Regions from separate parts of the Mus musculus genome. Here all the other regions are reported to be linked to region 4. The links are microRNA targets in miRTarBase. Many come from high-throughput screens and were not tested one by one. Region 4 holds a microRNA gene; each other region holds the end of a gene's coding sequence.
The links. The annotated mature microRNA mmu-miR-466k reads UGUGUGUGUACAUGUACAUGUGA and lies in region 4 at 1,847-1,869, shown strand. An mRNA with a match to its seed (bases 2 to 7 or 8) in the 3' UTR can be bound and repressed. Matches are read on the target gene's strand: a 7mer-m8 pairs with bases 2 to 8, a 7mer-A1 pairs with bases 2 to 7 and ends in A, and an 8mer does both.

Region 1 (3,254 bases), not on the chromosome of region 4:
AGAAGGTTCAAGTCCCCATAGGGAAGGCACAAAACAAAAGCCAGCTTTTGCGTCTCAAAGAGTGAAAAGCACCCGGCCACAGAGCAAGGAGACAACCCTGCGTCTCCAAGGGAGGGACCAGAGGACAAGGCACATGGCCAACTGTTTCCAACCAGAGCTGTCTGGAAGCAAGAGCTTTTGGTAGCATAGGTCACTCTGTGTAAGTGAATAGGGGAGAGGGTAGCTGCCTGAGTCTACCAGGCCAGTGTGGACTCAGAGGTGAGGGTGTGTGTGTGTGTGTGTGTGTGTGTGTGTGTGTGTGTGTGTGTGTGTGTGTGTCAGTGTGAGATTGTGCAGAGAGCCAGTTTGGAAGGTCATATGCAGCTGGCTATCTACGTGGCCAAACTGGGGGCGTGGTGGTGAAGTGGTATCTGCACGTGTCTGACTGTGTGACACATTGCTGGAAGGGGTGGGACACGAGACTGTGTTCAGCCCGTGTGACTTTCGGGTGCCTCTTGGGCTCAGCGTTGGGTGTGTCAGAAGGGGGCGCTCATGGGGCACAGGCCTGGGCTGCAGAAAGGAGTCCGGTAGTCCATCGTCCTGTGGAACATGTTGGAGAGTCAGGACTAGCTACAACCAGCCATTGGTGAAGTGGATCAAAGTAAGGGGGTGTCAGAAGCCAGGCTGCTGTGAGTGGGAAGAAGGAGGAGCCCCTGGGAGTGTAGAACCAGGAGGTTCCCAGCTCTGAATCCAGAGCTCCCTGGGGCTTCTTCCAGCAGTCCATTCAGTTGACTTAACCATGGCCAACATTCCACAAAGCGGGAAGCTTCTCCCTCACCCCAGAACTCCACAGTCCTTTTCATGAGAACCAGCAGTCCTCATGCGATAGCAATCACCCTTTCCTGCCGACCCCTGGCTTTTAAGGACTGTGCCTCAGGACAGAGACTCTACCTCGACGGCTGGCCTTGGAGTCAGGTTTGCCCCTCCAGGCTCACAGCCCTGTCACAAATCCTGCTCTCATGAGTGGACACCCTGTCTCCATCATCCGTCCACATAGCTGTCACTATATATCAACAACCCCCCTCCCCCCACTACCAGCTCCCCTCTGTTCCATGTTCTACTTCAAGTCAATATCCTCACTGTGGCCATGGCCACACCCTGGCCTCATAGTTCCCAGCACATTCCCTGAAGTCCTACCTAACCTTAGCCCTTCCGATCACTGCTCTCTGCCTGGACACTTGCTATCACCTCCCAGGTTTCAGCTTCCTCCCCATGCCTCTGCTACCAATATGTCCATCTGCCCCTCCTTCTTACCAAGCCTAGTGCCACAACCTGAACAAAAAGCCAGCCATAAGGAATCCAATTCTGTGCCATGGATAGAAAGCCAAGGTCCTCGGGCTGATGGGATTTGGGACCCAACCATCAAGCCTGACTGTGACGGCAGCCACTCAGTTCCCTGGCCCTCCTTCCACACTGGGACAGTTACCAACCTCCTGCAATCCTTCCAGCAGCCCTCATACCCATGCTGCTCAATGCACTACCCTCCCTCCACAGCATATCCCATGAGCATCCTTGCCACCAGTGCCAAAAGGAGTGCCAAACAGTTTTACCTGAGTTTTACGTGGCCTCCCCTTGGCTACTGCACTCCCTGCCTTCCCAGTCATCCTCTCCACCCCCACCTCTCCCTCAGTTGCTCCCTATGACGTCACAAGCATTCCATGTAGACACATTCAGTTATGGACAGCAGTACCCACCTCCAGACTCTGAGTACTGAAGCAGTTTTAGTCCCCTACCCCCTACATCTAGAGAAGTCCATGAATGTATTAAGTGTGTGTGTGAGTGTGGTCATATGTAAGCCTGTGTGAATAGGTACCCAGACACACCTCCATGCATATATCCATAGGCACATGTGTGCACACAGATATGGGCCTATGATTGTGTCTTGGACTAAAGTATGTATATATGTACACATGTGTAGATGCTTGTGTTACATGTATGTGTATGTATTAACTACCTATGGCTGTCCCCTCCCTCCCTGCCCTAGACAAGCTCTTCTAGCCCCTCAGTATCTAGCCCTATCTCAAGGCCTACAGTGATGAGATTCCCATCTCCAGCCCAGGCCTTTCCTCTGAGCCCCAGACTTAGGAGTCTCTGTACCCCAGAGTATCTCCCAGCACAGTACTCATCTCCCTGAGCTAGAGTAAATGCCTTAGCACAAACTGGCTTCTGTGGGCAAGCAGACACACACACATACACACACACACACACACACACACACACACACATACACACACATACACACACACATACACGCATACACACATACATGTACACATAGATACATACACCTACGCATACATACACACATATACACACATACACACACATACAAACACACATACACATATACACACATACATACACATACAAACACACACACACACACACACACACCTCACATGGTGCAATCCTGCATGCAAACGAAATGACAGGTTTTCAAAATGAAGGGATAGAACAGAGACAGGGTGAAGTTGACACACAGAAAGCCAAGGCAGGTCAGGGACAGCAGGGAGTGGTGAGAGGTGCCTTCACACCCGCACAGACCACCCACCTGGGTTTCATCCATGTCACTTTGTCCTATCTAGTTTCCTCTTCCTCATCTTCCTCTTCCTCCTCTTCTTCCTCTTCCTCATCTTTGTCCTTGGAACCATTACCAAACTCAAAGTTGCCTTCAATGTCCAAGACCTGCAGGTGTTTCAGCCTCCGGAAGGCGCTTTCCACCACGGAGCCCACAGCCAGCTTGTTGAACCTGAGTGGTGGTCCATGGGTCAGCGGCAGGAGGCCTGGCTGATGCCCTCACACCTACCCAGCTCAGAGGGGAAAGGGGGGAGGGGTGGTATTTGGGAGTGCTACAGCAAGTTTTGAAGGGGGTGCGTGAAGAAGCACAGTACACCCCTGACAAAGAGATCTGTCAGGACACCGTTAGCTTGGAGGAAGGGGGTGGCAAAGGCAAGGAATGTCTCCTTCTATGCATAGTCACTTCATGTGCAGAGAGATGCCTCTGCTGCCCTTCCCCACTAACCTCAAGATCTGACTGGCACACAGGCAAGGCCTGGCTGAGCTGTAAGGAACGTACTCAGCCCAACACTGAAGGCCGGGTCATACCACCCAGTGTCACCACCCTGGGCCTGTCTTCTATTCTGTCTTCTCTCTGATTTGAGTGGGTCGAGTTGGAATGGGGGGTGGGGGAGCATCTGAGAAGAAGCCAGAGTCTG
Region 2 (3,254 bases), not on the chromosome of region 4:
CACCTGCTGCTGCTGAGCCCCTTTGTGGGGCTTCTCAGATGCCAGACCCACTAGATGACTCTCAGGAGCTCCATGGAGACCTGGCGGAAAGGCTCCTTCCGCAATGCCTCCTTTTTCAAGCGAATCACCCTGGGGCGGCCACGGAGACTGCATCGACAGGGCAGCATACTTAGCCAGGCCAGCACTGCTGGTGGTGACCATGAGGAGTACAGCAACCGGGAAGTCATCCGAGAACTGCAAGGGAGGCCAGACGGCCGGCGTCTGCCCTTGTGGGGGGATGAGCATCCCCGAGCCACCCTACTGGCCCCACCCAAGCCCCCACGCCTCTACCGAGAGAGCTCCAGCTGCCCCAACATTCTGGAGCCCCCAGCAAGCTACACAGCTGGCTACTCGGCCACCCTGCCTTCAGCAATCTCCCTGACAGGGCCGCTTCACCAGTGCTCAGAGGAGGCCCTTTCGGACACTCCCCACTTCCCGAGGACACCTACTCCGGACCTCAGTGACCCTTTCCTCTCCTTCAAAGTGGACCTGGGGCTTTCACTTCTGGAAGAAGTTCTGCAGATTCTAAAGGAGCAATTCCCAAGCGAGCCCCACTTCTGACCTGGTGAGAGTAGCGAGAACTGGGGTGACTGGAGGAATGGCGCCTGTGGACCCAGGCGAGGAAGGTACAATGTGGACTAAAGAACAGGTGGGGACCAGAAGCCACAGTTCTCCCTGCCCTCTGGCTGCTGACCAATCCTTCAAGTCGCCCAAAGTGAAGGGGCAAAAGCCAGCTGGGAATGTATGGGAGTCACTTTCTGGCAGGAGTCCTGAAGGAAGCTGGAGAGACCAGGAAAAGGAAACTCCAACCTGCAACCACGGAACCAGTCAGAGGTCAGTGGAGAGACAGGCAGGCACAGGGGCGAGCCAGGAAATAGGACTCAGCCTGGGCAGAGCAGCCTCTAAAGACCACGTCACAGAAACAGAAAGTCACAGGCCAGTCTAGGAAGACATAGTCTAACTGAGATGAAAGGGAAGTGGGGAGGTCAGAGAGGCAGGACTAGACAAGTCACCACTTACGGCGCAGGACTGTTTAATGAAGGAAAAGCAAACTGAGAAGTCAGCTCCAGAGGCTGAGGAATGGCTCAGTGGATACAGTGCTTGCTATGCAAGCAGGAGGGCCTGAGATTAGACCTCCAGTACCCGAGTATAAAAGGCAGGCAGGGATGCTAGCCCATCTGGAATGCTGGTGCTCAGGTTGGAGAAGCTAGGGATCCCAGGGGCAGCTGCCTGGTTAGGTTGCCAAATCGGCACAGTCCAGGCCCAGCAAGAGAGCCTGCCTCAGAAAATAAAACACCGAGAACAATTGAGAAAGACATCTGAAATCAACCTGTGACCTCCACTTCACACACACAGACACACACACACACACACACACACACACACACACACAGACTCACAGACACACAGACACACCATCCAGACACAAACACAAAGAAAATTTCAGTTATTTTTCATCCTAGCAAATTTTTATTTGTTTGTTTTTGAGATGAGGTCTCATATGTAGTGAGGGTGGCCTTGAACTTCTTATCCTCCCACCTCCACCTCCGGAGCCTGGGATTACTCATGTGTGTGTGTGATCAAACCCAGGTTTTTTTTTATGAGACACTGGGGATCAAATCCAGGGTTTCATGTATGCTAAGCAAGTACTCTACCTAAATGAGCCACATGCCAGCCCTCTAGCCACATTTTAAAGATGTTTTCAAAAATTATTCTTAATTGTGTGTGTGTGTGCACACAAACAAGTATATACAGGTACATGCAGAGGGCAAAGGTGTTGGATGCCCCTGGAGCTAGAGTTACAGGCAGTTGTGAGCCACCTGATGTGGGTGCTAGGAATTGAACTCAGGGCCTCTAGAAGAGCAGTATGTGTTCTTAATTGCTGAGCCATCTCCCCAGCCCACTTAGGCACATTTTAAATCAACAGCCACATCTGACTGACGGCTACTGTACTGGATGACAGAGCATAAACACCGACACTGTTAGACCAAAGTCCACTGGATGGCGCTGGCCAGACACAGTATGTAACCATCAGAAGCTTGGGCAAGGAAGGAAAGTTGCCAGCTCTGGGCTGCAGGTGCAGGAGGGGCTGACAGCAGGAGAGGTAGACAGAGGAAAATGCAGGGGAAAGGCCTAACATCATTAGCAAACACAGCATGAGACTCAAGCTTCCCACAGATCTGTAAGCAAGTACTCTAGGAAGAAGCTCCTGGAACCAGCAGCTGCAAAGGAGTGCTCTGGGAACTTCCACAGGCATTGTATGTGGAACCTCTGGGAAAGGCTGCAGGAACAGTACAGGGATAACCAGATCAGAAAGGACAATGCACCACCAAGAGGCTCCAGGATCCTCCACCAGGCCCAAGACAGGGCAAGGCTACAAACTGTGCTACTCCCTGCCCTGTGGCTGGGTCAGATCTGAATCCAGAGCCCAGAAGCACTGGACCATGTGGGTCTGGCCTCCAGGTCACTCAAGTGTGAAAGAAGGGTAAAGGAAGCTGTGACACACACTGCCTGATAAATCCACATCTGTGACATCTCTCTTTCCTGTTCCTGTGCAGAGGTACTCAGCTTCAAGCCTCCTCTGGAAACAGGAGGCAACCAATAAAGGTTTTTCTAATATGACCTACAGAGTATGGTCTTGGATGTGAAATGCTGAAACTTTCTAGTGGGGAATGAGGCTTCTTTTAAGCTAGGATCTTGTAGTGAGAACCTTGGTTTCTTTTTAAAAAGCACAGAAATCTGACTATGCTTTCACTTTAACCCCCGTGTGGCATGGGGCTGTCCACAGCTGACTATGCAGCTTGTCTCTAGCAGGGGCGTGGTTGTGCCAGCTGCAGATGGTTTCTGCAACTGTGTCACACTTGGAATTCTGGGGCCTTTTTAGAGAATATATAGTATATATTCTGGGCCCCGAGAGGCACGGTGGTTAAGTAGTCTTGCGCAAAGAACAAACATTAAGGAAAAGAAATGTGCTATCCTGACTGATGAAGTCTCTTGGGGCCCCTAGTCAGGGATCTCTTTCCTTTCCTCTCTTCCCTCTTTTTCTCCATCTACTGTTAGAGGGTTGAAAGGGTGGGAGAAAAGGCTGGGGAAGGATGGAAGAAAGAACCCACAGAGTAGCAAAGGCAGCTACAGGATCCTGGGCTGACCTCTACATCATTCATGTTCCTCCTCCATCAGGACCTGGGACACTGAATGACAATGGCCACCATAGA
Region 3 (3,254 bases), not on the chromosome of region 4:
CTATGGAATGGTGGAAAAGGGGGTACAGGCACAGTGCTCCGGAGCATGTGTGCACGCGCATGCATGCTGCAAGGTGCCATTCCCAGCTGGGCAGTTAGTTCTCTGAAACTCAGCGGTGTCTGCATGCTGTGGTGGGAAAGGGCTGGCACAAAATTGGCTTAAAAAAGGGGAATTGATTGAGTTCTAAGTGGACAGCGGCATGGCATTCTTTCTTGTTCTTTTTACTTCTGTGAGGCGCTAGGGATTGAATCCAGGGTCCCGAACAGGTCCTGCAGCACTTTTCTTTCCTTTCCTTTTTTCTTTTTTTTTTGGTTTTCCGAGACAGGGTTTCTTTGTGTAGCCCTGGCTGTCCTGGAACTCATTCTGTAGACCAGGCTGTCCTCGAACTCAGAAATCTGCCTGCCTCTGCCTCCCGAGTGCTGGGATTAAAGGCGTACGCCACCACACCCGGCCTGCAGCACTTTTCAAATAATGCTGTCTACTATTATATCTCCCCAGAATTATAGGATTTTATAATTATGGTTATGATGCGTGTGTGTGTGTGTGTGTGTGTGTGTGTGTGTGTGTTTGTAGGATCTTACTACGTAGTTCAGGCTGGTCTGGAACTCAAAATCTTTCCTCTGCCTTCCACGAGCTGGGATCGCAGGTGTGTACTGTCAGCACCTAGCTGGATTTTAAAACTTAATCCTTAATTTATCTTGGAAACCAAGTTAAACCCTTCATCTCCTATCACTGGAGCTGTCTTCCTCAAGTGATTTAGCTTTGTTTGGCTTAACCATGCACAGACATCTTTGAAATAGGAGAACCCAAATACAAGGAAGCCTTAGAGTTCATGTTTAAATTTTTTTTTATTATGGTGGCATCATTTACTTTGGTAAATTCATATTCTGATTTTAAAATGCCTCAAAGCAAACAAAACTCATTTACAAATTCAAGTACTGCATGTTACACACAGAATAGCCACACAGTGGAACTTCTCTAGCAAGCTGTTAATTCACAATGCCCAGTCCCAACACTGCAGTAGATTGCACTAAATGTATCGCTTTATCGTAATTGTTGTTGCATAATGCAGTAACCAGTACAATGGCTAATATGATTGCAGTCAAAGCTTTAATAAAGTAGCAGCATTTAATGATGAATACTCCCCCTCCCTTTTTTTTTTCCCTGAGGTCCAGACCCAGTGCCTCCTATGTGCTAGGTGAAGTTCTGCCACCTTGCGGTACCCCCAGCCTGAAAGAAACATTTAATGTGTAGGATGCAATTTTAGGTCAGGCGCTTATTCAAGAATAAGTGCTTAATATGCTGTTGTAACATTGAAGAACAGCATCGTTCATTTTTACTCACTAACTAGAGTGAGTCAGGCTGAAGGCAACCTGGAGTAATGAAAAAGGGGAACGTTAAACCTCTGGATTACACTAAAAGCTAACTAATGTAAGTTCCTTGTGGCTAAAGCATATTTACTAGTCAACATATATACACACATGTGGAGAGGGAGGGAGGGGGAGAGGAGGGTGGGCTTTGAAGGCCCCACTAAAATGCTAATATAGCTGTAGCCCTTAGATGATACTTGAGCTGAGAACAAAGAACAGTGGCCAATGGTTTGTACTCCTTATTTGTTGTTGTTTAGGAAAAAAAAAGCCTAAAATATCTAAATGTCGTAAAACAGATATCTACTATTTAAGGTCTCAAAGTAAATGTACCTGCATTAAACAAATTTAGGTTGTTTTTTAAAAAACAAAACAAACTTTGCAATGGGGCTAGAGAGATGGCTCAGAGGTTAAGAGCAGTGGCTGCTCTTCTAGAGGTCCTGAGTTCAATTCCCAGTAACCACATGGTGGCTCACAACCATCTGTCATGAGATCTGATGCCCTCCTTCTGGGGTGCAAGCATATATGTATAGCAAGTAAATAATAACAATTAAAAACAAAACCAGAAAACAACTTTGCAACAATTTTTCACTTATTCACAAATATATTTTACATCTCTATTTATTACAGTTTGAACAATTTAAAATCAAGTTCTGCAGGCACTCTTAGCTCAGATAGCAGTACTATGCTGTTAGCTCACAGAAATGACTGCAAGGACTATTTCTCTGAGTTCATAGACTCTTTCCTCTCAGGCCCATAGCACACGCTACTCACACTTCATTTTGCAGATGGTGAGCAGCTGGGTAACTGTCCTGGTAACTGGATTCACCACAATCTCAATGTGCTTTAAAAGGTTTGTACAGCTGGAGTGTGTGTATGTCCGGGTGTGTGTGTGTGTGTGTGTGTACAACCTTTAACTTTCAACAAACTAACTCTCCCGATACTGATTTTTAAAAAGCTTTAAGATAAAGATATAGAGTAACCCAATTTTATTAATAATCAAAATTGCCTTGGAGAGTGCTCTACAGTCCATTCAGAATCGCTCATGGATGGAACACTTCGTCATTCCCAGGGTTCAAATGATTGTCTCAAAAGGGAAAGTCCTAAGTGAATACTGAGTCTGCTCCTTAAACAGTTTGTTCCTAACTGCTGCCTTTTTAGAAGTGGAACATTCTAGGTTCAGCTGGTCCTGAAACCACGGAGAGTAACTCACCGTAGCTCTTCAGTTTTCAAACAAGCTATTTTGTTTTCCTTGGGATGTTTAGCTTTTGAGGAAAATTACAGGCTTAATGAAGCCACCTTAATACTTAAAGTCTCTGATAAAGCTCGCCAGAATAAAGACTATTTAGATGACAAATAAAACAGAATCCACACTGGATTTCTGATTTATTTTTAAGCAGCCCCTCTCAAAAAACAAAACAAAACAAAACAGCAAAAAACCCCTGCTCATCTTTGGAGTCCTAGCTGCAGCATCTCTTACTTATGTGTTCTCTGAAGAGAGCCAGAGCCCACAGCATCTTAACACTATCTATCCATGTAAAATAACTTACACTTGGGACTGGGGGTCTGTATGGCCTACATAGGTCCATCCTGGTGCCCTTGCTAAACACTCTCTCTGGGTTAGTTGGTTCCTGGTGGGGGTTTGATGGAGGGAATACTGCAGGATCTTCTCATGATAAGTCTGACTTCGATATCTGGCAGATTATCTTGTCTACTCTCTAAACAGCCCTCATCCGTGGCTGCTAGATGGAGATCAAACCGGAGAGAGACGGACTTTTTCCTCAGTCGAGGGTTATCTTTAAAGAATGAACCTTCCCATTCTTTTATAACTTCATCCACTTTCTCTGTCCTGAAATGAGAAAACAAACTCGTTTTTACAGAAGAAGA
Region 4 (3,254 bases):
ACCCCCATACACACATCTCATCCCATCGTCTCTAACATCTGCATACTTGCACTTCACAGCTCACAAGTCTAACCTTCCCAGGTAACTGGCCCATTTGGGTCTGGTGTACCTTCAATCTCTCTTTTTTTATTTTCTTAAAAGAAACATTTGAGAGCTGAGCATCTAAGATGGCTTTGGATTCACACCCACTGTCTGTGGAACAGCTTGAGGCTGACAAGATTAGCTCGCTGGAACGCTCTGGGATCCGTTCAGCCTAAGCTGCTGCCCACACACCAGCCTTGCTCACAGAAGCTGCTTTCCGCAAGCAGCAGCCCGCTTCACCTCCTCCATCCTGGCTCGTGGAACTGGTCCTTGATGTCCTACCTGGTCTTGAGGACAGTGGCTTCCAGCCTCAACCAGTCCTCATTCCCAGATTCCAGGATGTGACCATGGTGATGTCTCAGCCTCTCCAGAGGAGTCCGAAGGGTGATACTTCTGTCCTTCCTCCTCCCATGTCTAATCACCTGATTTTACAGAACCCAGCATAGCGAGCAGTGCTGCAAGCTTCCTTCCCCTCCCTCGGCTCTCTTCTTCTGTCCCTTCTTTCTGTAATATCCAAGGGGACCAGACAGAGTGGGCCTTGATAACACACATTCCCTTGGCTCCAGAGCAGTAGCTTCTAAAACCTGTAAATAAGACAGCTCTATGCCCCTGTGTAGACATACACCCCAAGGATAGGCTGGCTCCCTGGTACCTGTCCAGAGTTGAGAGTTCAAAAGACAGACCAGTGGATAGAAATGCTATCATGCCCACCCACCCCCACCCCGCCAAGCAAGGCCTGCTGGCTCATGTACCTGGCCAGACATTACATGAGCAACGGGCAGTAATTGTTGTCTAATCTCTTCCCAGAGGTTTCAACTAGTTCCAAACTGTTGTGGCTAATAAAAACAGAGAAGATTTGCAAGAAATTCCAGGTGCATCGGAACACTTTGGGGGATTGTGCAGCCTGCAGGCAGACGAAACTTAACTCAAATAAACATAAGGTAATATGTGTTGGCAAAAGTAACCTGAAGTGGGAGTATACAACTGTACGTTTCAAATTGGCTGCTGCCTGTAAGGATGGAGATTGGTAGTAGCTCAGAATGGATGAAGTGGGCAGAGTAGCCAATGTGCATCCCAGAATAACCGAGGCAAATCAGATCTCATCTCACACAGACCCCATCAGTGGCCCAAGATGGAGCACATGACAGATTCCGCAGTCCCACTTTCTACTTTAAGGATGAGGAGACATCGTGGAGTGGCCTCCAGATTTAGGGGTCTCCTGTGAGCCAGGAATGTGTGGTCATGTTCTCAATGGAGCGAGTAAAAGAAAGTGTCTGTTTTTGTTCATTGAAGTCATTGACTCCAAGCCCTGGAAGCTGCCATGTTACCTCCATCTGCTGCCTAACTCTCAGGGCCACATTTAGATAAAGAGCCGAACTTCTGAACTGCAACAGCCCTGGACTTCAGTCAATTCCCTACTTTCTTACAGAAAAGAAAATATTGAAAAGCTGTATTATGGTGTCTTATATGAATGTGCTAGTTTCCAGGATGGGAGGGGCTGTATATTCACCTATATTCACACACATATACATGTGTGCATGTGATATACATTCATGTACACCCTCCTATAGAAATAAGTGTATGTGTGTGTGTGCATGCATATGTGTATATGTGTATGTATGTGTGTGCATATACACATGGGTGTGCATGTGCATGAGTGCATGTACGTGTATATGCATGTTCTCTATTGATATGTGTGTGTGTGTGTGTGTGTGTGTGTGTGTGTGTGCAGGTGTGTATATACATATATATGTGTGTGTGTGTGTGTGTGTGTACATGTACATGTGAGTATGTGTGTGTATATGTTTGTACATGTGCATGTGTGTGAGTATGTGAATATATGTGTATATGTGTGCATGTGCATGTGTGTGTATGGTGAGTAGGTGTTACTAATTGTGACTCCGATGGCTGTGTCTCCATCTGGCCTAGGTGACAGGTAAGCAACTGCACTGATCTTTCACAGGTAGCAGCAGCCTTATAGGGCAGGAGAAGACTGGCACCTCTGCACTGGCCGTGACCTTACCTGCAAGCCCCCGAGGAACAGGAGCTTTTTTACTCCTCCATCTTCTGGCTTCCCAAGCAGGTGCTGATATCTTGACAGGGAAGGGGAAATGCTCTGTCCTGGCCCTCTTGCCTCACAGAACTAAAAGCTAAACATGGCTTCAACTACCTCAGCGGCTTTCTTCTCCCACAACCACATGCAGTAGAGAGGCCCAGCGCTGCAGAATACATCTGTGATAGGAGAGGAGAGCTTGGATCTGGAATGTTCTAGAAAGTGATGGAATAATTTGAAATCCAAACTGTCTAAAGGCTGAAGAAGAAAGGAAGCCATTGCCACCTGCAGGAAGCAGCCAGGTCCTTTTGACCTCTCAAAGTTCTTGGCTGTGAGGTTCCATCATTCAGCTGATAAAACAGAGGAACAAATGTTACACAGGGAAGTTCACAGGAAAAGGGTCAGTACAGAGTGTGCAGAGCTTCTGGTGGTATAAAAGCCAGTCACTGAAAACTAGGGACATGTCCTCAGTCCTTGAGACCTGAAGTCATCTCTTCTCTTCTAAGCATCCATTATACCCAGGATTCCACAGCCCTAGGCCTTCTGGAAACAAACTTCATTTCCCCAAAAATTGTCTGCTACCCTAATGCCACCGGAACAAGTTTTTTAGCTCTTGGGTTATAGCTCAATGATGAAACACTTGCCCAGCATATACAAGACCCCAGATTCCACCTCCAACAACAACACAAAGCACGCCAGTACATCTCAGCCTGTGCAGAGGCTCAAATTTCGAAGGAAATAGGAAATAGATTCATTCATTCATTTAGTGACTCTTTCTCTTCTGCTGTGTATGAGACGCTGTGTTAGGCAACACCAGAAATAAGGTAAAGATTTAGCAGGTGACCACAAACGAGAAAGTGCAGTGCGTTCTCCACTTTAATCAGAGCAAGCCAGCAAATAAAATGTTCTAGGCAGTTTGTCTTGGCACCAGCCACAGGAATTTACCTGTGACATCCTAATAAAGAGGACACTGAGACATGACATCCACAAGGACTTGATTGGCTCTCCTGGAGCTGATTGTGCACACCAACCCCCAGGAAATAAGGCCAGGAGGTCTGTGGTGAAGCCTGAGTGTCCACGGTCCAACTGGGTCCTGGGTAACGTGGAAGCTGTTGTGAGT

Region 1: the mRNA of Podn is a reported target of mmu-miR-466k. Seed matches in the 3' UTR shown: 7mer-A1 at 312-318, 8mer at 310-317, 8mer at 308-315, 8mer at 306-313, 8mer at 304-311, 8mer at 302-309 and 19 more.
Region 2: the mRNA of Gm14137 is a reported target of mmu-miR-466k. Seed matches in the 3' UTR shown: 8mer at 1,385-1,392, 8mer at 1,387-1,394, 7mer-A1 at 1,396-1,402, 8mer at 1,397-1,404, 8mer at 1,399-1,406, 8mer at 1,401-1,408 and 15 more.
Region 3: miRTarBase lists Krt222 as a target of mmu-miR-466k. Seed matches in the 3' UTR shown: 7mer-A1 at 2,267-2,273, 8mer at 2,265-2,272, 8mer at 2,263-2,270, 8mer at 2,261-2,268, 8mer at 2,259-2,266, 8mer at 2,257-2,264 and 5 more.

What each region holds. Positions count from the first base shown.
Region 1 is chr4:108,015,117-108,018,370 of GRCm38, forward strand. It overlaps Podn (podocan), which reads right to left. Exons shown (of 13, transcript NM_172874.4): 12 at 2,591-2,788; 13 at 1-579. The coding sequence ends at 2,617. Among named protein-coding and RNA genes, the nearest start is that of Podn, 15 kb to the right of the region's middle.
Region 2 is chr2:119,174,908-119,178,161 of GRCm38, forward strand. Gm14137 (predicted gene 14137) reads left to right here. Exons shown (of 1, transcript NM_001039223.4): 1 at 1-2,661. The coding sequence starts at 73. The coding sequence ends at 600. All of the region lies in intron 10 of Dnajc17 (DnaJ heat shock protein family (Hsp40) member C17), which reads right to left. Among named protein-coding and RNA genes, the nearest start is that of Gm14137, 2.0 kb to the left of the region's middle.
Region 3 is chr11:99,231,932-99,235,185 of GRCm38, forward strand. It overlaps Krt222 (keratin 222), which reads right to left. Exons shown (of 6, transcript NM_172946.3): 6 at 830-3,216. The coding sequence ends at 2,988. Among named protein-coding and RNA genes, the nearest start is that of Smarce1, 2.5 kb to the left of the region's middle.
Region 4 is chr3:85,465,550-85,468,803 of GRCm38, forward strand. Mir466k (microRNA 466k) reads left to right here and starts at 1,828; the gene lies at 1,828-1,949. All of the region lies in intron 1 of Gm31419 (a long non-coding RNA gene), which reads right to left.